Drosophila melanogaster: one gene and its partners. The protein of the gene in region 4 interacts with the protein of the main gene of each other region in a pairwise test. Each region holds a gene or a part of one and is shown on either strand. Other genes may lie near its edges. The genes, in order: CG13707, CG1344, CG31638 and CG13171.

Region 1 (5,483 bases), on a different chromosome or scaffold from region 4:
GGAGAGACAAGGACAGCACACGGGCGACAAAGATAGCCGGTCGAGTTGATAAATTGCGCGCACAACACAGAGACAAAGAATGCGCCAGCTTACGGACACCCACACAGAAACGGACACCTCGCTTATTAGGCACAGTCTGAGTCATTACAATAAGTTTAACTAAGGCCAATGATATTTATCATATTAGTACATATTAAATTGATTTAAAAAAGTTATATTGTTTTATAGAAAAAGAAGCACTTATCATATACAAGTAATTATTTATATTATTTGTAATTCTATTCCAGACTTTACCATCCACTGTAGATCCCGTGTGCCCATGAAAAGCTTGCCAACTGTCCACCACTTTCGCCCAACCCGCAACCTTATCCACTCACCCAGCATCCCGGGCATCCTTGGACTTTTCCCGGCGATGGTCGAGCAATTTAATCAGACAGCAGAGCGCAGAAAAGCTGATAATACCGTTATGAATAATTTACCCACATACGCACACACATTCGCTGATGGGAAGTGAAACGCGTTTTATTATTGTTTCTGGACCTGTCTCTTTTGGTTTTATTTATAATTAATATAGCTGCGCCAGCGTATAATATAAAAACATCGCATAAAAGCACTTGTTGTTTGCACTTTTGCTTTCGAGCCTTTAAGAAGCTGCGTGTGAAATCGTTTTAATTAGGTGCGGTAACTTGTTGCGGCTGACCAGTGGAAAACGGAAACTACAATTTGGGAGCGGGGAATCCCCGAATGTCATATTCACCTCAGATATTTGCCGCTGTGCCGATGTGCTTTCTGTCAAAATCAATGTACATCCCCACCGCAAATATCATGAATACAAGATGTTTGCGGTGGGGACTAATATCGAAATTTTGTCTTCGCAGGCGACCGCAGTAAATGAAACAACCAGAAATGAACAATTTACCAACCAAGTATGTCATTTAATGGCTACCCTGATGTATTTAGTTAGAGAGACGGTTGGGATAATTAAATAATTGGCTTAATGAAAATATACTTTCAAGTGAAATCGTTTTATTAATCACACAAGGTTCTTAACTTAGATGGAATATGATATTTCAAATATTTTTTTTTAACATGTCATGCTTCTTCAAAAATTATGTGCTTAAGGATGTCAATTTATAATTTGCAATTAAAGGAGGTTAATGACATCTCAGCGCAGTCTTTCTTAATTATACTATACTCAAATATGTTCGGCTCTTTTGTAATGGCAGATTATAGCTTGGGCTACAATACTTTGTTCATATGCATTTCGGACTAGTTTCAATCTCAGAGCTAAGCTCAAACTACAGGATTAGGTTCCTTTAAGCGCTCAGCTCGTTTCCCCCTGCTTCTTCTGGAGAACCACAGCAATCTGGAGCGCCTTTGAGCTGTGACCACATCGGATTCCACATGGATGCAGTTCCTTCCGCCGGACACCTTGACCAACTTCGTATCCAAATCCAGTTCGCTGGCATTGAGTATTTGTGCGACATGTGCCTCGTCGATTGTGCCTTTGAAGATAAGGGGATAGGGCCACTCGTGGCATATCGTGGGTCCGCTATAGTCCCGCAGAGCCTCGATCATCCTGTCCAGGCGCTGCATCTCCTCGTGGTCGTCGTTGAATTCGCGCACCTCATCCAGCAAAGCTGCCACATCGGATTCGAGCACCTGCGAGGTGAGGTGGAAATTGGATTAGCGGGAAATCGCTTATTTTGCTCGATTTGCACTGCGGTATCCAATGACACAATGACAGTGACGGCGTTACGGTCAGTGATAGCCTTACTTTCCCGCCGGCTGAGCTATCCACCCATCCAGGTCGCCATTCCGGACCCCCTTATTCGCGCCATTCATTCGGCGATGTTGGCTCGGATTTCAGCTCTAATATCTTTCCAAAGGCCTCGTCACTAGCGTCTCTATTAGTGCCAAATTAGCCAAGCCTAGGAACACGGCCAACTAAGCTCATGTTGGGTGCATGTTTCGAAGGGGTGAAAAGTAAACCCTACCCCAAACACTCTACACCAAAAAGGTAGTTATCAAAAGTTAAAATCAAACGAAGAAGCTGTAAAAATAGTTTATCCATGTATTGTAGTTAAAATACAATAGTTAGGGAAGTTGGATTGTATATTTAGTTAGACAATTAATACCGGGTAATCATCCTGTGCGGAAATAACTTTATACTTATTCATCTGGCCATGACTGTGCCATGCATTGCGAAACCGTTCGTTTGCCTATGGCCGAACCGACATTGTCTAATTAGCGGTGCTAGTAATCACTGCAGTCCCCAACTACCCCCACGTCGCACCCCCAACCCTCTCTGACCCGTCCAACATTCTAACATTTCGTTCCCAATAACTGGCTATAATTGCATTAACATGTTCCAAATCGCTGCTGCAGCTGTTAACAGAGTTGCCGGTCGCGCATTGTTGAACAACAGGTGATAGCAGGTGAAATGGCAGCAGAAATAGCGATAACAAATTACAATGGCTAAAAGGGGTTAAGAGATATAGTCGGTTGACCATTGTTAAGCTAAATGCTAAGAGTTTGTTGACAAGCTTTCATTAAGAAAAGCATGCAAAAATGTGACGTTACTTTTATGAAGATTACGTATACGACTAGTTGAAGACGGCATTTAGTAAAAATGGTAAGATAATTTTACTGCTACTAGCTTACTTAATGCATTACAATTTAATTTTTGTATCCAAATAAAAGAGCTATTTTTAGAATGAAAGCCGAAATGAACAGAATTGTTTGTGAAAGCACAGATAATATTTCGAAAGTGATGGAGCGATAACAGAAGTGGCACAAAGGCCAGATAAGAAGGAGATTATACAGACAGAGGCACAGTTGTACATATATACCAGATATAGAATCTGTCAATGTGTTTGCAACACTTTAAACCAGCAACAAAAGTGTAACTCTGCGGCCAAGTGGATTACGCTTGTGTGGTAAAAACAATTTGGACAGGGAAAGAAAGGGAAGAGGTTCGTCGATCAATTACCAAAAACTCAATATGCAGATTAATAACACATTTTAGCACTTGACGAACACGACCGCGCAAACTTTCCACGCTGCGGAGCAGTTGCCTCCGCCGCTGCACCGCCGCACTAATTGGCTCCGTCATCGCGGCATCTGTGATGCCCTGAATGTTTTATTTTTTGATTGCCCACCGCCGGCGACACTTGTCCAATTTTCGGGTGGTTTTTTGGACTTTTACATATAGCACTAATTCGTGTTTGTTGTTTTCCTTTTATTTATTTTCTGTAGTTTTTCGTTCGCTGCCTTTGTTGCTGCTCTACATGTTGCCGCGGAATTCCGCTCGCGAACAGCGCTCGCCGTTGACTGAAGCCTCTTCTTTCAATGAGTAAATTGTTTACGTGCGTCAATCAGCCGGGCACTTGAGTGTGTGAGTATATCTGTGTGGGCACACACTCAACCAATACCCATACACACACTCGCAGTGCAGGAACAATTGGTGCAGTTCCACTTCTCATAGCCACTCAAAAACATCTCAAAATCGGCGGCCACAACCACGGATCCCGCACCACGGACCACGTACCAGGGTTCGGAGCCCGGGATTTGGCTTCCGGCTGTGCGTTGTGTCCGTTGGGTCCGTGGTGTCTGGCCAGTGAGGTGTCTCCGGTGTTTGGTGGTGAAGGGTACCAATAGAAAAACGAAATATCAGCTGTACAATTTATTCGATGGAACATATATTTTGAAGCCACAAACATTCATTTTTGTCTTTGACATTGGCATTACTTATTTTAAATTTTTGGTTTGGACTAGACATAAAATATAAAACGCTACGAAGTGGGGTAAAACCTTGGAACACAGGCTTTTTTAAGAGGTTCCATCATCTCGCGTTTTATCCCAAAGCGGAGCGAGACAGGCATTAAAGATTTATGAGCCATCCTAGTAGCAGGCAATGTTATTATGCAACCATTCTTTCCCCTATTTTTTCCATCGTAATAGTATGCAACACTTGAGTTCCCAATGTAGCCACGAAGTATGCAGCATTTCCCGTATTCATATGCAAGCCGCAATGATTTTAGAGCTGCTCGTTGACTTGGCTTTAATCGTGCTTTTCTTTGGCCCAGCTTCATCCCCATCACCATCCTTATCGAAGTTCCCTTCCACAACCCATTCTGCTGAAAGCCAAACAAGCATCAGCAGTTAGCCATTAAAATTTTAATTTTGTGCACCATTTGCCACCATCTTGGCCCACTGGGCACCGATTCCATCTCGGCAACGTCATAGCCATCGCCATCGCCATTGCCATAGCAATCCCGTCCAAAGCCCTTGGCTTGAGCGATTATGTTGATGGCCAAGTCGAGGCTGCTCACCTGCAAGGGCCACGCCCTCCTCGCCGACGCTCCTCCGCCTCCTTCTTGTCGATAATACGCTCAATTCAATTTGCATATTCAGTTGTCCAATGAAGCGCACACCACACAGAAGCGTTGCGATCCGTCGTCCTTCCAGCTTCCAATTCAATCCCTGCCCCAACCGGTGGCACGACCAAGCAAATGGTCTCTTTCTGGGCCATCCCGGTTGTTGGCCACTTGAAAGAGCCCAAAATGTGCCGCTGACAGCGGCGCACGCATGAGCTACCTGAACTGCTCCAGAACAGCTCGAGCACTGCAAGAAAATGCGGATAAAATATAAGTAATAGTAATAATTTTTCTAAAATATTTTATTGCGATTTAAATTTAGTTACCTAACAGTTTAAGTGAAGCATATCATATTTTCAATTCGAACTAAACTAATTCAGGATACATTTTTCGCAATGCACTTCGAGTTCCCAGAACCAGATCCTGCTCCGTGAATCCTTCTATCCTCGAGTCGTCCTCACCTGCTGTTAGTCCATTACGTTAGCAATTTAACTTACGCCACGTAAACATGATTATCATCTTAAGCGCAGTGTGTGTGCGTGCGGTGCAATGTGCGTGCAGCGGGTGGGAAAACTTCGAAGCCAACTGCGGACTGTAAGCTCGTTGGCTCGCTGTTTAACAACTTTCAATCTGCTTAAAACTGCAATTAATTTAAACGGTTTCTTTTTTGCCCCATTATATCCGAAAACAGTGTTCTCGGACTACCGCCACCCAATCGCAATCCGGATTTCAATCCGGTTAGAGTGCTCCCGCCCTAATTGAGCTTGTCAGAATCAGCCATCAGCAGGCAGAGCGTGTTTTGGCCAGGACACCTGTGAGGGATTCAGCTCCCAGTCGACACAGGTGTTCCGTCCAGACCTTGGATGTGGATCTGCCCTTGTCACCAGCATGTGGTCCAGTGGTGATGCTGATCCTGACGAAGCAGATTGCAGCTGATTGAACCGCACGAGAAGTCGCCCACGTCCACATCACGCATATCCCTCTTTGGAGTTGCGAGAAAATTGCAACAGCCGCTTGATTTATTTGGGGGCGGAACCAAGTTATAACTTGTGGGCGTGGCTGCTATGCAACACCATTTTAGGGCACCGCTGTGTTAGGTATTCC
Region 2 (6,189 bases), 6.6 Mb from region 4:
GGAGTCAGCGAAAGAAGGAGGGATTCACCTTTGAATACAAGTACTTAGAGGACAAGGAGCTGAATTGAAAATGTTGCGATGTTTGTTGCTTCGTCTGTCTAAAAGAAAACCAATCCATTAAAATAATAAAATAAATCAATCCAATTTTCATAAAAAATCACACAATCATAACACAAATCAAAATCGAAAAGCGCGAGAAAGATCAACTAATGGAAATTTAAAAGAAAAAGCAAAACAGCCGTAACCATAAGTTAAAAGTAAAATGAAGTATATTTATTAGGAATGCATGTTTTTTAGCTTTACTCCTTTCGTTAATTTTACATTCTTGCAGAATTAATAAGGATGCTTACTTTTATACACATTTCGCTACGCTTTTTAATTCAAGTATTGCAATACAAATTAGTTTTCATTATCTTGGCCTTTAAAATTACATATAGGTGTTTTGTAAGGGCCACTGCGATTTTTACTGACGTCACAAATATATTAGTCGTCTACCGTCTTTGATGAGTACGTAAATCAGCAGCAACATGTCTGCGAAGAGTAAGAAATCACAGAGGGCTTTCAAAAACAATCTCATATAACCTGTATTCTATGGGTCCTTGGTAAAAAGTTGAAAGATTTAAAAGAAACATTGGTCCTGATTTGTATGCGATTAAATTAACACAGCAATAACAGATTGTTTGTCATATTCATACCCGAGGCTGTATGAGAAAGCTATTAACATGAAGCAAAGGAAATAGGTATAACCTGATCATACTATAATTGAAATTTAATCATTTTTGGTCCCATTTTGTTACGTAAAATTTCCAAGGCTTTTGGAGGGCAAGTCTTGTTTAAATGTATGAACACAGAATAAAGACGATTGAATAGTTGAAATTAATATTATTTTAATTTGGTGGGTATATTCCTATATATCCTTGCAGAGGGTTCATTTTAATTTTAATCAAAAGTAACAACGCAGAGAAATTGGACCCTATAAATTAGCACTAATTAAATTACTAGTACATTTATCCATTTCATTTTCATCCGTTTCTACGCAAGTTTAAATTACGATTACAATTCTATTACTAAGTCTTAATCAAAAACAAAAATACCGAGGTGTCGATTTTTTATAATACAAAAGTAAGCAAGCATTTATTTGTTAGGACAAAAAAAGGAACAAACAAGAGAAAACTTTACAGTCTAGTTCTCCGACTACCCATTACAATCAGCTGGTGGGAGTGCGAACGAGAAACGTACGTGGGCGTGGCAGTTGTAGGTCTGCGCTATTTTTGTCACATTTACGGCAAGTACGACAAAAACAAAGAAAATGTTGAAAAAATTCAATTAGTTTTTTTTTTTTTTTTTTTGCATATACACAGAGTATGTTAGGTATTTTTAAAAACATCTCCAAAGTTTCCTGATACAATTTAATTACATTTATGGCTTTTATTGTTTAGCTAACAGTAAAAAATACCTCGATTTTGTATTAAAGCGTTGATACATTCGTCACGCCCCAGACAATATCGTCCTTATCATCCTGTTCATCATGACCCCAACCCTGATCGGCACACAGCTCATTACAGTTCACGGCTGACGCAGCAGCAGCAAAACGGCTGCTTATTTGCTCCGGTGTCTCACAGGTACTAGTCCGGATTTCGATGATCGGTTCCATATCTTTGAAGAAATCAAATTCGTTGAACTCAGACCTTTGAATCACCGTTTGCACTTTTATGTCCAGCTCACTGAGATCATCGATAACTTTCTGTTCTGTCTGGGATATTGTCTCGTTTACTCCAACTGATAAATTACATTTTCCAGTGCGATATGAGGGCGATAAAGATTTGCCAGTTTGGATCTCTCTAGCAAATGAATTACTGTTTGTTTCAGAGTCGGTTACAGCGTGATCCACTTGGTAGCCCTGTTGAAGGTGGTCTGTATTGTCCCAATCAAGCCAAGTCCCCTCCTCATCAATGTTGGCCACTCTTTCATGCTCTGTGCCAGATATATACGAGTCCTTCTCGGGGTCTATATTATGTTTTATACTTATGGATTTTTCATTTGAATTTAACCGAAGTTTCTCGTCCTCCCCACCGTCCGGGCTAAGGCGAATAGATAAAGGTGAGGCATTGCTTTCTTGTGGCAATGGGCTCCCAGAAACCATAAAGTCTTCTACGTCGAAGGATCTAGTATTCATTAAAGGACTAATAGACCGCGGTTCGGGATAAGGATTGTTGCTGTCTCTGGAAACAGCAGCGTGTGGACGGCCATCAGAAAAACATCGTGCACGATCACCGCCCAAAACTTTGTTAGCTCCTAATATGGAAACTAAATCAGCCATGCACCTTAGTGTTTTGCCTACCAAGACGTCGTTAGTATCGTTCATACCAAGCTGTAAATGAGGAAGAATTTCGCTCTCTAGTTGCTCATCGCTTAAGAGACGAACATAGTCCATAAAATAGTCAAGAAGTATTAATCGAATCTGTGCATCACGCAAGCGGAACATCTTGAGTATGTGTGGCATTAAGTATTGTACGTAGATTTGCGGAGAAAATAGCGATGCCGGTGCTTTATCAGTAACTTTTGTACGGAGTATATGCGGAGTCACAAATTCTTGTGCAGCAGGATCCAGCAGAACCATTCTAGAGAGTAAGTCACATGCCAGCTGCGAAGCCACTACTTCCTCGTCGAAATATCGCAATCGATCAATCAAACTTCTAAAGAATTTGTGGCGCTCGTGCACTGACTTCAGTGGCAACTCAAAGAGAAAGGAATGTATAAGCACGAATTCATGGTTGAAGTATGGATGTAGCAAGATAGCAGAAAGTCTTGGCCTTAGCTTTGTATTTTGATGCTTTAGGTGTGTGCTGCAATACTCACGGAACTCATGAACGTGTGGAGTGCTATCAGTAATACAACTATCAGTTCCTTTCCTGCTTAGCACTTTCTCGCACAAAATGGAGAAGAAAAATTGTTCGAAGTTCTCTCCGTGAATAGTCAAGTCTATAAAAGAATGTGCCAAGTCGAGCAGTTGTTTGTTGACATCCGTGGCCCTCCAAACGTACTCGAAGCCAGCGAGGCGCCAGCTTCCACTCTCCGTTACGTAAATAGACTGCGTGTTAATATTTAAGTGCCGAGCCAGGGCCTTCTCAACCAAAAATATTAGAGCGCATAAAATGGTTCGCAGCCCTAGGCAGACTTCAATGTCAGTCTGCTGGGCCAGCACCTCATCTAGAGGTCTGACTCTCTCTGTAGCAAGATACTTCCGTCCCGACTTCTCCCAGGTAGCTATATATTTTAAGATGTACGGGTGGCGGTAGACCATCAGGTTCTAGGGGAAAACATTTGGTAAACAGTTGATTTCTTTAACCCTACAAGTATACTTTTATTGCTCTTTCAATCGGGCCCACTCCATTTGACCATACATGTGCCTTGACAAAGACTTTTCCTTCGAATACGGAGAGCATCTGGCTGCAACGTTCATCGTTGGTTGTCTCTGGCGTCTTAGCGTTATAAACTGTCCAAAATTGATTAGTCTCCACCGCATTTTCCTCAACAAGTATTCCTTTTAGTTTGCTGCCTTCATTGCCCATAGCTCTAGATGCTGTTATCTACTACGAAGCGCTTAAATTTATTTCTTATTTCGGGCACATAATTTATTGCAATAATAGCATGTTCAGACAGGGTTGCGTCTACACTAACAGTTGAAAACAATGTTCGAAAAAAGGGAACAAGGAATTCATTTATACATAGATATATCTATATCAACTTCGTATGGTCAAAAAACCCCATTTACACATTGAATTCTATTTGAATATCATTATTTGTATAGCCTTTATACACATAGTGAGTATAAGAACCTGTTTAGCAATGAAAATAGCTAAAATAAACTTCATATATATAAAACATAAAAAACATGTTTCGTTATTCAAAGAGATTTTAAAATTAAAGCGAATGGTTAATTATAGGTCATATTTTCACACTTTTCAGTCCCTAATTTTGTTTCTCCCAAAACATCTTTTTTAAGTGTTGTTTAAGAACCTGGGCATGCCCGTCTGTATGTCCATCCGTATAAACGTCGAGATCCCGGGAACTATAAAGCTAGATTAAGCATACACATTGCAGCGCAAATTAGTTGACCCATTTAACACCCAAAATATATGCCGCCAAGAAGTTCAAATTTCAGTTGAGCTCGTACCCTTTCAGTCACCGATCGTGGAATGGATTCCCGACTAAACTCACCTATGGAAGGTAGCTGTAGAGCACGCTAAGATGATAAATTATTGTTAAACTCACTTAAATAGGATGGTAATCGTATAATGAATGTGTTTTTAAGTATGAGTGTACACGAGGGTTACCAAATAATTCAACGACCTAAACCACAATGGCAGTAATTGAAAAAACATGCTTAGCATGTGAAAACTGCATCACATTATTCAACACATTATAAACTTTTTCATTTTTGTCTTTTTGTTTGCTCATGTTTCGGTCACACTGGACGTACGTGAAAACAAGTGACAATCTTTTGTTTTTCACATTTTGTTTTTGTATATATTTTGAAAAAATACATAAAACTAATAAGTGTAACATAAAGTCGTGTACATATAAATGTTTTAAAAACTTGTTTGCCACTCGAAAAATTCACGCAATATATCAAATGGATCGGTTTTAAATTACTTTACATCAGTTGTAATGCAAAATTATTAGCGAAAAGTAAAAAAATACGCCTCCCCTTTGTGCAGAAATTGGTGTGTGATCTTATCTAGGACGAATTTATAAAAGCAACATACAAGGTTCGAAGGTGAGTTAGCATGTCCTTGTTGAGTTGATGTGGTGCTGAATATGAACAAATCAACACATTAAATATATGTCTAGGAAAAGACTGAACAAATTCAATTCTAATAATAGAAAGCCAGCTTTAAATTAGTTAACAAACATGACATAGATAGCCTTTTATAATCGGTACACCATTAGTAGCGTGTTACTACATATGTCAATAGCCCAAGCCTAATCGTAATGAGTCCTATCGTAATCTTTCCAGTGTGGTTGATTAATAATAAAATCGTTCTTAAATTAATAGCTAAGTTCTATTTGACACAAAGATCGACTTGCATATCAATTTTCATTGAAGTTTTGACAATTTTATATTAATTACCGTCTTTGGAAACATACATATTGTTGATGTAACATGTAGAAAAATTGTCGAGATCACTAACGGGATCATTTTAGCCATGTGCATATCTCTTATTCTATCGGAGCTGTTACCCAATCTATGCATTTTCCGGGCAGAAGTGCCCATCTTATACCCTTATAAAAGGTATATTGATTTCAGTTATATGTTTAAAACGCAATCAATGAGACATTTTTACTTACATATGTACGCATGTACGTTGATGAAATCAGCGGATAACGGCTAAATAGCGCGTGCTGCCCCAGTTTCACAACAAGATGGAACGCAATAGTCAAGTATCTGGAGTGTAGAATATTCGTTTCTTGCTAGTGAGAGTGCCAGGGAATTTCTAAATTCTTTTAAGCAACAAGAGAGATTGTTATATTCGACTTCCCAGACTATAAGATAGCCGTTACTCACCTCAAAGTTTTAATGAGAAATTTCTATATTTTTTGGAATGTTAGTAGAAATAATAGAATAAAAAAAAATTAATAAATGATTCAAAAATGGGGTCGTGACAGTTTTGTGCTGCTTGTGGGCGTGGAAACATGGGTTAACAACCTTGGCCTGCGTATATGTCTCTAGAATCTGTATGCTTAATCTCATCCATCTAGCTGTTCCCGAGACGGATTAGACAGACGTCCAGATGGACATTGCCAGATCGACTCGGCTATTGATCCTGAACAAGAATATATATACTTTATATATACTTTATATGGTCGAAAACGCTTCTTTCAACCTTATACATAATTTTCAACGAGTACCAGTATAGTAATAAAAAATAGACGGGAACCCATAGTGGATTCCTCGACTATCAAGAGAGATAAATATTTATATGCAACAATTTAAGAAGTAAAGCTTTTCTCGATATTATGTTCCACTAGTAACCTATTGGTGATTTCATTTATTGTAATTCTAATTTGAGGGACATTTTTTATATGAGAGACAGAAAACACCATGATTGAAAGTCTTGAGTGGGTGTTATCGGTGGTACCCCGTGTTTATAGGTTGTCGGACATGCTGTTCTGAACCAGTTCTAC
Region 3 (8,648 bases), on a different chromosome or scaffold from region 4:
TAAAACGATTAATTTTCAATAGCTGCCACCACTCCACTCACTCTTTGCGTTCCAGAAGGGAAGCCAAAAGATTCAGCCGCAAGTTGTACACCGCCATGTTGATGAATGGGTACAGCTTGCAGACGGCGGCCATGGTCTCGGGATCCCAGCACGCCTCCTGGCTGTAAGAGCGACAGATCTTGGCCTGTGCGCCATAGAAGCGCCGAAAGACCGGCGATCGCATTCCCCATTGGATCATTTCCGCAGACTTGTTGTAGTCGCAGTTGTACAGCGCCGCCAGTTCATCCAAGGCGCGATGGTGCTCCTTCGCGGCAATGGAACGGCTCTCGTAGGCGATCAGTGGAGCGTAGTGCTGATAGCAGCCCGGCTGATGGGCCAGGTTGTCCAGCAGGGTGAGGGCACCCGATCCCCGGAATGTGACCAGCATTGAGCGGATTGGCTGGCCGCCGGCATCCAGAGTGAGGTTTCTGATGTCGCCCAAGTGGCTGGTGCTGTAGGAGACCAGTGAACGTTGCAGTGTCACCGGATCCGGCATCAGCATGGGCAAAAGGAAGAATATGAAGAGTACGTAGGTCGTATAGACGCCCACGCAAGCGACGGTTAATTTTGAAGTACGCGAAAGTGAAACCATGACTGAAATTTTAAGTTTATTCCAATTTTCCCACTCTTCCAATTTTGTATAATGTCTGAACGATTGAAGTTTGAAGATCTGACAGAAGGTACTGTGCTTCCACGAAGACGATCAAAAAGCAGGACAGGATTTGCAAGAAGGGTTTATCTTGTAACATGCTACCTTTATTGGCATATCATTTGTATTTTATATATAATTTTAATAGTTAATAAATTGTTATTTATCAATAACTAAAATACTAATATTGCTATGTTATAATACGTAAATATTTTGAGTTCCGATTTGTTTAATGTGTATATATATTTTTTTGTAAAAGATCAACTATGCCGCTGAATATCGATAGACTTTTGAAAAACTAAAAGAATTTCGGACTAGGCAACTGCAAAAATATCGAAATATGTAGTGAGAATTACTTGTATAATTTCCAATAATGTCGATTAATAAATAGCAGCATTTCTATCAATGCTTTCCTAAATCTCATACAATTTCTTTAGATTTCTGGCACTAAATGCTATTCCGCAAACATCGAACCTGTATTATGCTTCAATACGTATATATGTCGGTATATCTGTTATTAAGTCTGTTCATTTTTAGTAAAGGCAAGGGTTTCCGATGAGGATGCAAGGATGTGAAGGAGAAATCCTCCTAACAACCGTCTTAGCTGCGGGTTAAGCTCATAAGAATATGGCCAGCTAGATGAGTTTCAAACGTTATCCTTAAATTACTTGGAATATTGAAGTTATGAAAGTGGCTAACTGGTGATCTGATGATTGGAATTAGTCGCGAAATTAAGAATATCTTAGTTTATAAGTAAGTATTTGTTCATGAACAATCGTTCTGCAATAGTTATGCTTATAAAAAAAACTGGGGCACCGGTTGGTAAAAGGCCCAAATATAAACTAGGAATGCGCATTATATTTGGGACTGTTGTCCAACCAACTTTAAAGTACTTGCGAATTAATACTTAAGGTTAATACCATTAATGTCTCTCAAATGTCTTTTGTCTGGTTATCCTAGTCGCTGTTACCCTCCGTCTCGTCGTCCAGCAGCAAGCTTGTCGAACCATAGCTACGGAGTCTGAAATTTAAATCACAAATAGTTATTATATTTACCTAGAATTATACATTGATTAGTAAAACCAATACATGCAGTAAAAGGATTAGTGATGCTAAAACAAATCAAACCAATAATGTGATGAACACAATAACTAACAAAGCATTAGTTTACTCAAGTGATAACAATCGTTTCTGCTCCTCTAATCTCACCTCATCGTCGGACACCTTGAGACCATCTAGATTAATGCTGTTTCTCGCATATCCAGCGCCTGCAGACTGCTCCTTCTCGTACAGCTGTCGGTTTAGCTCATCCTTACTGGAAACGGAGCTGCTGCCTCCATTTGTGGTTCCCTTCAGGGGCAGCGCTAGATTCGCTCGACTGGCACTGCTGCCTGCGCTGCCATAACGTCCGTTTCCGGATCGCTGCCTCTGGTGATGATGATGGTGCTGTCCGTGAGGATTATCGAATTTCTGCTTGGCCCGCTCGAACTCCAGATTCCGTGACTTCGACTCAAATATATTCTCCTCCAGATGCGTGGGCTTGGCATCAAAAAAAGCAGCTGCTGCCGCTGCCGCCGCCGCTGCAGATGCCGCAGCACTACTCTGCTGCTGCTGCAGGAGCGTTCGTTCCGTGTGACTAGATCTCTTTACGGAAGCAGCATGATGCATAGCGGCATCGCTGCCATTGTGGGAGCTCCTCAAACCTGCCTGCGAGTCATCAAAGATCTGGCGAAGATCATTGATATTCGGCAGACAGTCGTTGGGCAGCTCCACGGCAATCTTATTCCTCAATTGCACCCCGCCCATGCCCCGCAGCTGGGGACTGGGAGCACGTCTTTTTCGTTGGGTTAAGCGTGGGTTAGGAGTTAGGTTATTAGTCAAGCCAGCACCAGTTGAAAAGTTAGTGGTTATTAGAGTTAGTCCACAGACTTAGCGGTATGCAAATCTAAATGTTTCTTTCGAACTGATCTTACCTATTCTGGAGGTGCTGAATCTGCACCTGTAATCCTTCCGTCTGACCCACCAGCTCATCGTTGGAACGCTGCAAGCGGCGCACTTGGTTAACGGCCGAATCCAGTTCGTCCTCAGCACCAGCTAACTCCCGCTTCAGCTCCTCCACACGCTGACGCAGACGCTTCACCTGCAGGAAAATAGAGAAAAGTAGTGATGTAGCTACATATGTGGATTCAGATTGGTATATTACATATTTGTTCTGAACGCATAAGATGCATCTGTACCCAAAACTCGAAGCACAAAGAGCAAGGGGGCGTGCCTTCCAGTCTTCAAACACAACTGATAAGCAGACGACCCCCGCCAAGTGGTGATAACGCTTAAAATGGAAAAATATTTCCTTCCACACTCGCTTCACTCTTGGTTTCTATCGTCAAGTGAAATATAAGCGCGATAGTGCGAAAAATTTAGAACCCGCAGATTAAGATCGGGCATAACAACAATATTAAAGCGAGGTAAACAAAGTTGGCGAAGAAGAGCGAAGAGAGCGCGCGAAGAGCGGGCAGCCAAAAGCTCTCGCTGTAGATTTAAGCTTTCTTCAGTCTCTCGCCGAACGTCGAATCGAGCAGCTGTTCCGTGGAGAACCGGCTGATCACTTCCAACAGAAAAGACAGAACCGAATCGGAATTATGATTGCGCAAAGTGTAATCAGCAAACTGCGACCGTGTGCCCGCCGCTTGGCCAGCACGAGCTCCAAAGCCGCAGCTCCCAAATTCAACTGGCAGGATCCGCTGAATTTGGAGAGCCAATTGACCGAGGAAGAGGTGGCCATTCGGGATGCGTTCCGTGGATACTGTCAGGCCGAGCTGCAGCCGCGCGTCAAGATGGCCAATCGCCTGGAGACGTTCGACAAGAAAATTATGGAGGAGATCGGCAGTCTGGGTGTCCTCGGCTGCACCATTAAGGGATACGGCTGCGCCGGAGTCTCTAGCGTTGCCTACGGCTTGCTCACCCGCGAGGTGGAGCGCGTGGACTCCGCTTATCGGTCTGCTGTCAGTGTCCAGAGCTCGCTGGCCATGGGCGCCATCTACGACTTTGGATCCGAGGAGCAGAAGCAACGCTATTTGCCCAGCATGGCGGAGGGCAAGCTGATTGGTGAGTGCCAAATGAATAAAATCATATTTTAATGAAATATTGAGTGAATTATATAAAGTCCCGTAGTTTATATGTGTTCTCTTTAAACGAATCTCAATTTCTTTACATATTTATTCAGGTGCCTTTGGCCTAACTGAACCCAACCACGGTAGTGACCCCGCTGGCATGGAGACCCGTGCCAAGTACGATAGCAAAAGCAAGACATACATCCTGAACGGATCTAAGACGTGGATTACTAGTGCGCCCATCGCAGACGTCATAGTCGTATGGGCAAAATGCGAGGATGGCAAGGTACGCGGCTTCCTGGTGGATCGCAAGATATCCGGCAAGGGTTTGGAGACGCCAAAGATCGAGGGCAAGTTCTCTCTGCGTGCTTCGCCCACGGGTATGATCCTGATGGACGAGGTCCGTGTGCCAGAGGAGCAGTTGCTACCCAATGTGGCCGGCTTTAGTGGACCCTTCAGCTGTCTGAACAACGCTCGCTATGGAATCGCGTGGGGAGCCCTGGGAGCAGCTGAAACCTGCGTGGAGATTGCTCGCCAGTATACACTGGATCGCAAACAATTCGGTCGTCCTTTGGCTGCAAATCAGTTGATCCAAAAGAAGCTGGCCGATGCCATCACAGAGATTGCGTTGGGTCTGCAGGCTTGCCTGCATGTGGGTCGCCTCAAGGATCAGAAGCTGCACACGCCCGACATGATTTCCCTTCTAAAGCGAAACAATACTGGCAAATCGCTTGATATAGCGCGCCAAATGAGGGACATGCTGGGTGCAAACGGAATCAGCGACGAATATCATGTGATCCGCCATGTAATCAACCTGGAGTCAGTTAACACCTATGAGGGCACGCACGATATACACGCGTTGATCCTGGGCCGAGCCATCACCGGACTGGCGGCATTTGCTAACTAATGTACTTGTTTCGAAAATCATAAAGTACTGCATTTACCAATTTGTTTTATGTCGAAGTGTCAATGTGAATAAATGTTAATCAAACCGAATTCGGTTCGGCGAGGAAGGCTGTTACATCTTTAAGTTTTCCTAGGCTGATAAGCTGATACGCGTAATCTGATCCATATATCATCTGATAAGATTTTTGGATGTGGATTTACTCACCTCCGCCTCATACTGCTCGGCTCGCCGCACGGCGTGTCCCAGCTCTGTGTTTGTTTCGGCCAGCAACTTCTTTAGCTTGGCGTGCGACATCTTCACCTCGCTGATCTCCTTGTTGCGCTCCGAAAGTTCCTGCTGCAATGCTCGCAGCTCCACGTCATTAGCTTGCATGGGTCGGCACTTACGGTCCGAACGTTCCTGATAATCTCGCAGTTCTGCGCGCAGTTTCTTGTTGTCACGCTCCATGGCCAATTTCTCGGACTCCAGTCGCTCGCGCTTGCCCCATTCGGAGGCGTTCTCCGCCTGAAGGTGCTCCAGTTCAGTGCGAAGCTCCGTGAGGCTGCAATGAATCGATAGTTACACTCTTGTCAAAGTACAGAATGCGTATTTGCTTACCGGCGCTCGAGATTCTCACGGGCAGCAATCTCCTCCTGCAGCGAGTTATTCACGATACGCATCTCAGCACGATGTTGTTCTTGAAGAGTTAATAGTTCACGCACTGCCTCCTGCTTGGCCGAGCGCATCTCCTCTTGACGTCCGCGCACGTCCTGGATCTCCAGCGTCAGTTTCTCAATGCTCTTGTGCAGCTCCAGCTTTTCGCTGCGAAAATAATAGAAATAATTAAAGTATTATTATTGGAATAGAGATTACTCACTCCCTTTCCGCTTGAAGAGTTTTCTGAGCCTCGTCGAGGCGCAATTGCAGCATGGATATCTTTTGCAGCAAGTAGTCTTCGTCAAAGTCATCCTTTGACAATTGCTGAATCAGGCGCTTCTCCTCGGCAGCCGCCGCTTCGTCCAACTCGGTCAGATGTTTGGGCATAGCCCCCTTCATAGCGAACTCCTCAATGTCTAGATCCTTGACATCATTGGGCAGCTTGGTAACCAAGCCGTCCTCGCTATTGATATTCTTTAAGCCATCCGAGGAGATATCCGGCGAGCAGTTGGCATCCCGTCCGTTGGCCTCCGCATCCTCGCTGGTGTCGGCTCGATGGAACTGACCGGCGTGCTTCATCATCAGCGTGTGCACTTTCTCCATCTCCTTCTTTAGCTGCGTGATCTGCAACTCGAGATCGTTCTTCTCCCGCTTCAGCGAGTGGGCCTCCTTCATGACGCCGTCCAGTTTGAGGCTCAGCTGCTTGGACTCCTCTCTGGCCTTATTCCGCTCGTTGCGGACCTGCGAAAAGTGAAAAGTTTTGTTATTGGATACCGGCGATATTGACCCAACTTTAAAGCCATGGCAACCAAATTACCTTACTCCACTTCTCCCGCCAGTTGGCAGTGCAGTCGGACCTGGGAATGGTTGATGTTTGGATTAGCAGATAGTTTTGAGCACGACGAGCTGCTCCACTTACCACCACTTCATGGTTTTCTCCATCTGCGCCGCCCGTGCTCGAGCTTCGTGCAGTTCCCTCTGCCGCTGGGACTGAATAGAAAATGGGAGTTTATGGGAAATGATATAAAGCATCACACTCCGATACGCACCTCCCGAGCCTCCCATTCTGTTTCTCCATATCTAGCCGACATGGTGGTCCCGATGACGCCCACGCCGCCCACTTCATTGCGTCTGCTGCCACCCGCCGGTGCAGCGGTTACACTTTGCGTTGTGGATGCTGTCTGCGACATTTTGCTGGTGTCCTTTCTCAAGTCCTGCTTGCTGCCCTAAGTACCACACAACTACCTAGCTGATCTGTTGCATCGTGGGAGTGTTTTTGCAATATTTTGGACCAAAGCTTAATGCGAATACAGAAAATAAAATTCGAGAATGCGAACAGCTGTTGTTGTTTACTAGTCGCTGTGAATGGCCAAACTGCATGGTGTAGGGCTGCCAGTTGCTTTTGAAAGTTATTTAATTTCAGTTAATTGTTAAAAAATATTATTTGTATCTATATTGTATTATCAAATGTGGTAAATAATATTTTTAAAAAAAAATTAATTTTTTCTTTATTCAAGCCATCATAGAGTTTAATGAATGCCCTACATGATAATGCTGACCACTTGGCAACCCTGAAAGCGAGAGTGTGTAAAGGTCACACTATAAAGAAGTCGCCGCTTTTTCAGCAACTGTTTTTATATTTGCTGACTGAAAACTAATATTAAATCATGGCCAAACATCATCCGGATTTGATTTTCTGCCGCAAGCAGCCCGGCGTGGGTGAGTTCTCAAAAAAACCCGTTGAAAATCCCAGACAATCCAATAATTCGAAATCTCTCGCCATCTCATGCGGCAGCCATTGGACGCCTGTGTGAAAAAGACGATGGAAAGTGTGTGATCTGCGACTCCTACGTGCGGCCATGCACACTGGTGCGGATCTGCGACGAGTGCAACTACGGATCCTACCAGGGCAGGTGCGTCATCTGTGGAGGACCCGGAGTGTCGGATGCCTACTACTGCAAGTCCTGCACCATTCAGGAAAAGGACGTGAGTTCGCAAGTCATGCATTCTGGTGCATTCTGTGGTATTATTGTCCATTTTGGTTCTTATAGCGCGACGGATGCCCCAAGATTGTAAATCTAGGCAGCTCCAAGACTGACCTGTTCTACGAACGCAAGAAATATGGCTTCAAACAGAAGTGAGTACCCAGCACAGCAGTCAAACATAAAAAATCCACCCTAATACTTTGTATTATCTTTACAGCTATTAATCTGCTCTCCGCTACCTCAATACATTTCTAATAAATTTTTATTGTAGTTTAATACATGAACAAAAGGTTTTGTTAATTTGGATATTTGGAATTTTTTCTTATATCTAGACGGCGAGCAGTTTTTCACCGCCCTCGACGTCGTACTGCAGGCACAGGCGGTCGAACTCCGCTGACTTCTTGTCTAGATCGGTGACAAAGTCGCTCTTGGGATAGAACTGCCTCAGCTGTTCTAGATTCCGGGTGATCGCCTCTGTCGGCTTGCCCGTAAGATGGGCATGAACCATCAGATTGATCAGCGTGTCGTAGTCGTTGTGCTTCTTCAGCAGAGATTCACGCAGAACGGAATCTGCCTCCTCGTACCGCTCCAGACCCAAATGAACGACCGCTTGGCCGTTCAGCAGCGCCGGAGTTGGCTTGAACTTTTCACAGAACTCCTGGTAGATGTGAAAGGCGTCCTGCATCTGTTCCGTTCCCTGGGCGAGGGCCACCCACGCCTGAGCGAGCTGAGTCAGCGTAGCATCGTCGCTGATCTCCTGCATCTTGGCCACCAGCTGCTTGGCCAGGTCCACGCGCTGCAGACGCAGCAGGCACTGGACCGACAGAGCCATCGACTCCAGATTGGTGGAGCCGTGCAGGATCTTCAGTGCGTTCTCGAACTGCCCGTCGTGGCAGTAGACGATGGCGGTTGCAAGGTGCCAGATGTTGGTCTCATCCTCCTCTCCGGCCACCTTGTCCGTGAGTTTCTCCAGCAGCTCCTCCGTCCTCGAAGGCTGCTCAAAGGCTTCGTGCACCAGACGCAAGGCCTGCAGTGGCGTGGAGTTTCCCTCCTTGATGTCCGAGGCCACGATGCGCCCGGAATCGATGGCCAAGTAAGATAGGTACATGTAGGACAGGAGCTCCGGACCCGCGGTACCCTGCTCCGGCAGCACGAAGTTGATCGAGCCCATGAAGTTACCGATGTAGTACTCGTTGCGGGCATCGAATAGCACCGAGTTGGTGTCCTCCTCATTCTGCTGTCGGCTCATTTTCGTAAATATTATTGAATTAGATGGAAAAACCGAATTCTTTTCGGCTGAGTTGGCTTATTTGTGTAAACTTA
Region 4 (3,624 bases):
ATAAAAACCCAAGAAGGCGAAATGTTTAGGTTTAAGTGGGCGTCCTCTTGGAGGAGATGGCGACGTGGATGGGTGGCTGGGTTCTAAGATGGCTGGGAGGGGGGTTCTGTTGTCCGGGTTGACTTACCGGAATGAAGCCGCCTGCATGCCGTGGCATGCCCGGCCTGCATTTAGCTAATCCACAAGTTTAGCACAACAAAGGCAAAAGCCATGGAAGGCACAACTCAAGGTCCTTGCGATGACGACGATGACTACGAGTGGAAATGGCCGAGGACGATGGTGAGAATGTGGACGAGGGACTGGTACTGGGACTGGCGTAAGTGGATGCGGGACGACGACTACTTGACAGTCTTGGCTCGGCTTTGTTTTTTTTTTTTTGGTGGAACGAAGGCACCACCCATTTTCTCGTCGCCCACCAAAACGCTGGCTGCATCTTAAATTGTGTTTCTTGAATTTTAGTATTTCCATTTCTTGCCGAGGGAGCGACGTCTGGGAGCTGAGAATTTGAGAATTTCCGAATTTTTAGCTCTGACCTGCTCGCATATGTAAATTGATGGCTTTGTTTGTCTTTCGGGCTCAGCTTGAAATTCGTAAATCCGTTGAAAATCCTTTTTAACTTTTAATGATGGGGCCGCTGTGGCAGAAAGTGGGCCAATGTTTTCCCATGGGATTTGCGTAAAGTATCTGCTAAAAGCTTTCCCCATTCCCTTTGCCAGTCCACGTTTTTTGGCCAAAAAGGCAGCTCCGACCGCATCGACGTAGACACCCCCTCTTTACCCCATCCACCATCCCCTTTCGCCCAGGAGTCAACATCAATTTCGTTTTCATCAATTTCGGTCGGAGGTCGGAAAATGGTGGAAATGGTCGTCTTCCAAAGCTGTCTATTCCAACAAGACCGAAAACAAGACGAAAAGCAACAGAAAGAGAGAGAGAGAGAGGGCGGTGAGGGAAAGAGAGCGAAAAAGTTGGGAAAAACTTGAGAATGTTCAACTTAGTTTTCATTAATTTGTTGTTCTAGTTGGACCACTTATAAAAAAGTTGGCTTAATCTTTTGGCTCTCGGGTGACTGCAAATTTAACCCAGTAGTTGAGATACAAAATTTCAGATCGGTATTTCACCAATTGAAATTCGCTCGAAAATAAAACCATTTAAGTCGATCAGATTTTCGGAAATTGCTTGCTTCTCCAGCCATAAAGTTTTGATTTAAAACATTACTTATTTTCTAGCTGTGTTAATTAAATGGGTTAGTTTAATATTAAATTAATTTAATAATTCCGACTGAAGATCAATTTGTATTATTGCTTTTGTATGTTATTGTATATTGTATACTCCATTAATTTGAACTGCTGTAATTAAAAGCATTCTAAAAGGAAACCCATCAAATCAAATGAAAGCAGCTGAAATTTATTGATTGAATTCGCATAACACATTTTGGCACTCAGGGAGCATACATTTTTAATTGGCCCCGTTGCTGTGGCTCCAGTTAGAAATGAGAATCCGTAATTTGCTTTTGGATACGGATTTGGCTGTACGCCCAAGACAAATGCTCGCAATTATCCGAGCATAAAGTAGGTGCGTGTGCCTTCTGTGCACCCACACCACCGCATTCCGGTTTCCGGCGAAACAAGGACACTCTCACACACACACACCTACCAAATCTGAAGCACGTGCGCAAATTATCTTCAAGGCGAGAGAGCCTGAATAAAATAACAGCTGCAAACAGACGCATAAACAAATGAAACGATGATGGCAACACTTCTCTCCGGGCACACAACCCCATCCCAGGACTCGGCCTAAACTCATTAATTATCTAGGAAGGGAAGGGGGGGGGGATGCAGGTTGCAGGACATGCTGCCGTGACCAGCCATGAATACACCACATTGTGTTTGTAATCAACTTTGCCGCCGAGCATCAAATATGCTTAATGCGCTCTTCGATTGTTCGTCCTTAATGATGGGTCGACTTGGCTCAAATAGTGGCCATCAATAGTTCAGTTTCAGCTTGTGAATTCATGTCGTTTTGGAAACTGTTTTCGCATACATACCCACAAGGTTCTTTCATTGCTAAGTGGTCAAATTTGGCTATATCATCTATAAAGTGGCTTAGATATAAAAGGAAATGTATGCTTTTCACATAAAGAACACCATAAATATAACATAATAGCTCCTTACTTTTTTAGTCTAGAATTTATGAAATTATTTAATGGAACAACTAATATATATCAGTAAGTCAGTTCACATTCTCTATCACCCAAGGAACCTAGTATGTGTACGTATTTCAAATGTCTGCCTTTAAAATTGCTTATGCCTGTCGTTATTGTGGCAATATCGTCAGCTACAAGTCAGCCAAAGTGAATGAGACGCCCTACGACTTGCTCCTGAGCCGTACCTTCAACCTAATCCAAGAGGACAGGATCAGGGAGACAAATGGGGAGCGATTCCAGAATCTGCACTGCTCCAAGTGCCGCATGGAACTGGGTCTGCTGTGCTTGCAGAGCGAAAGGAATGTCCAACTGAAGGGACTTTCGCTGTTGGAGAAGGTTCATCTGGTGGTGTACGACTCGTACGAGGTGCCATTCGAGATGGCCTCACTTCGTGACTGATGAAGCGTGTGGAAATAAAGTTTGAGGGAAAACAATTAACAATTTAAGGTGACACACGGTTGCTATGTCTGCACTTGACGCTTTGGTCCGTTGATGCGCACACTTATGTACATACATATGTATGTGTGCAATATATATACACTTGACTTTGCACGAGCTTGTCACTTTGGAATGTTTTGGCAAGCGTGAAAATGATTTGCTCGACTTGCGACTGCCGGAGCATTAATCAAAATCAATCCAAGGAATCGTGCCAGACGAGGACATGCGGCAGCCATCAGAGTTTCAAACAAAAGTCTGTGCCAGGCACGCTGGAAAAAAATCCAAAATAATTTGCACTCAACGCTGTGACAGTTGGAAAGGCACATCCTTTCCCTTTCGCCGGAAATTAGGTCGCTCCTCCCAGCTGTCTTCTAGGCATCCTCACACTCACACACACCACCTACACCTCTGAGTGGCTCAATGGCAAAAGGCAAAGGCATTTTAATGATTTTAATTAACTGCATGTTTGCCTGTAATTACAACGGCAACAATGCAATTACGCCGCATGTACAGCACTGGGTGGCCATAAACAACAAGGCTCCGGGTCAGAGGGCAAGGCCAGTTGGCCGCCTGTCTTTTGTCATCACTCCATACCTCCATCCATTCCTCCAGGCCAGTCCCCTTCAAAGTAACTCCTCGGGCTACTGCTCCTCGTGCTCCTCCTGTGCTCCATCCGGGTGACACACCTCGGATGACAGAATAATTACATGCAGAGCCACCAGGCCCCCTAGTTCATTTGCTTTTAGTGCCCCAGCTGGAAGCTATTCCTGGAGAGCGTCGACAGAGCAGTGCATCATACCGAGAGGGACATGGGTGCGTACCAGAGGGGTTCCTTGCCAGAAATATTGGGAAAGTTTTCACATATATTAGTTTGCTAAAATGTAAAAGGATTTAGGTGCCTATGAGTAGGCCAAGTTTATAGACGTCATAAAATGGTCCGGACCAATTATATCATAAAGTACGTTCAATAAACAAACTTTTGA

The links.
Region 1: the proteins of CG13171 (region 4) and CG13707 interact in a two-hybrid assay, tested with the Drosophila melanogaster proteins (one large-scale study listed by BioGRID).
Region 2: the proteins of CG13171 (region 4) and CG1344 interact in a two-hybrid assay, tested with the Drosophila melanogaster proteins (one large-scale study listed by BioGRID).
Region 3: the proteins of CG13171 (region 4) and CG31638 interact in a two-hybrid assay, tested with the Drosophila melanogaster proteins (one large-scale study listed by BioGRID).

The regions. Positions count from the first base shown.
Region 1 is NT_037436.4:4,836,786-4,842,268, forward strand, and holds CG13707 (uncharacterized protein), read right to left. Parts: upstream 3,324-5,483; 5' UTR 3,116-3,323; coding exon 2,993-3,115; exon of another isoform or gene 2,139-2,992; intron 2,054-2,138; exon of another isoform or gene 1,778-2,053; intron 1,663-1,777; coding exon 1,294-1,662; 3' UTR 1,006-1,293; downstream 1-1,005.
Region 2 is NT_033778.4:5,651,090-5,657,278, reverse strand, and holds CG1344 (uncharacterized protein), read right to left. Parts: upstream 3,604-6,189; 5' UTR 3,573-3,603; coding exon 3,363-3,572; intron 3,311-3,362; coding exon 1,469-3,310; 3' UTR 501-1,468; downstream 1-500. Other genes in the region: Not3 (CCR4-NOT transcription complex subunit 3), read left to right, coding at 1-68.
Region 3 is NT_033779.5:6,489,117-6,497,764, reverse strand, and holds CG31638 (uncharacterized protein), read right to left. Parts: upstream 6,705-8,648; 5' UTR 6,531-6,704; coding exon 6,390-6,530; intron 6,331-6,389; coding exon 6,260-6,330; intron 6,198-6,259; coding exon 6,158-6,197; intron 6,082-6,157; coding exon 5,561-6,081; intron 5,506-5,560; coding exon 5,302-5,505; intron 5,246-5,301; coding exon 4,909-5,245; intron 4,792-4,908; exon of another isoform or gene 4,705-4,791; coding exon of another isoform or gene 3,911-4,704; intron 3,793-3,910; coding exon of another isoform or gene 3,327-3,792; exon of another isoform or gene 3,233-3,326; intron 2,828-3,232; coding exon 2,661-2,827; intron 2,522-2,660; coding exon 1,897-2,521; intron 1,709-1,896; coding exon 1,700-1,708; coding exon of another isoform or gene 1,645-1,699; 3' UTR 777-1,644; downstream 1-776. Other genes in the region: CG9550 (uncharacterized protein), read right to left, coding at 42-631; CG9547 (uncharacterized protein), read left to right, coding at 3,327-3,792, 3,911-4,704; Phf5a (PHD finger protein 5a), read left to right, coding at 7,008-7,059, 7,136-7,326, 7,392-7,477, 7,543-7,549; epsilonCOP (coat protein (coatomer) epsilon), read right to left, coding at 7,654-8,574.
Region 4 is NT_033778.4:12,211,749-12,215,372, forward strand, and holds CG13171 (uncharacterized protein), read left to right. Parts: upstream 1-2,261; 5' UTR 2,262-2,281; coding exon 2,282-2,602; 3' UTR 2,603-2,647; downstream 2,648-3,624.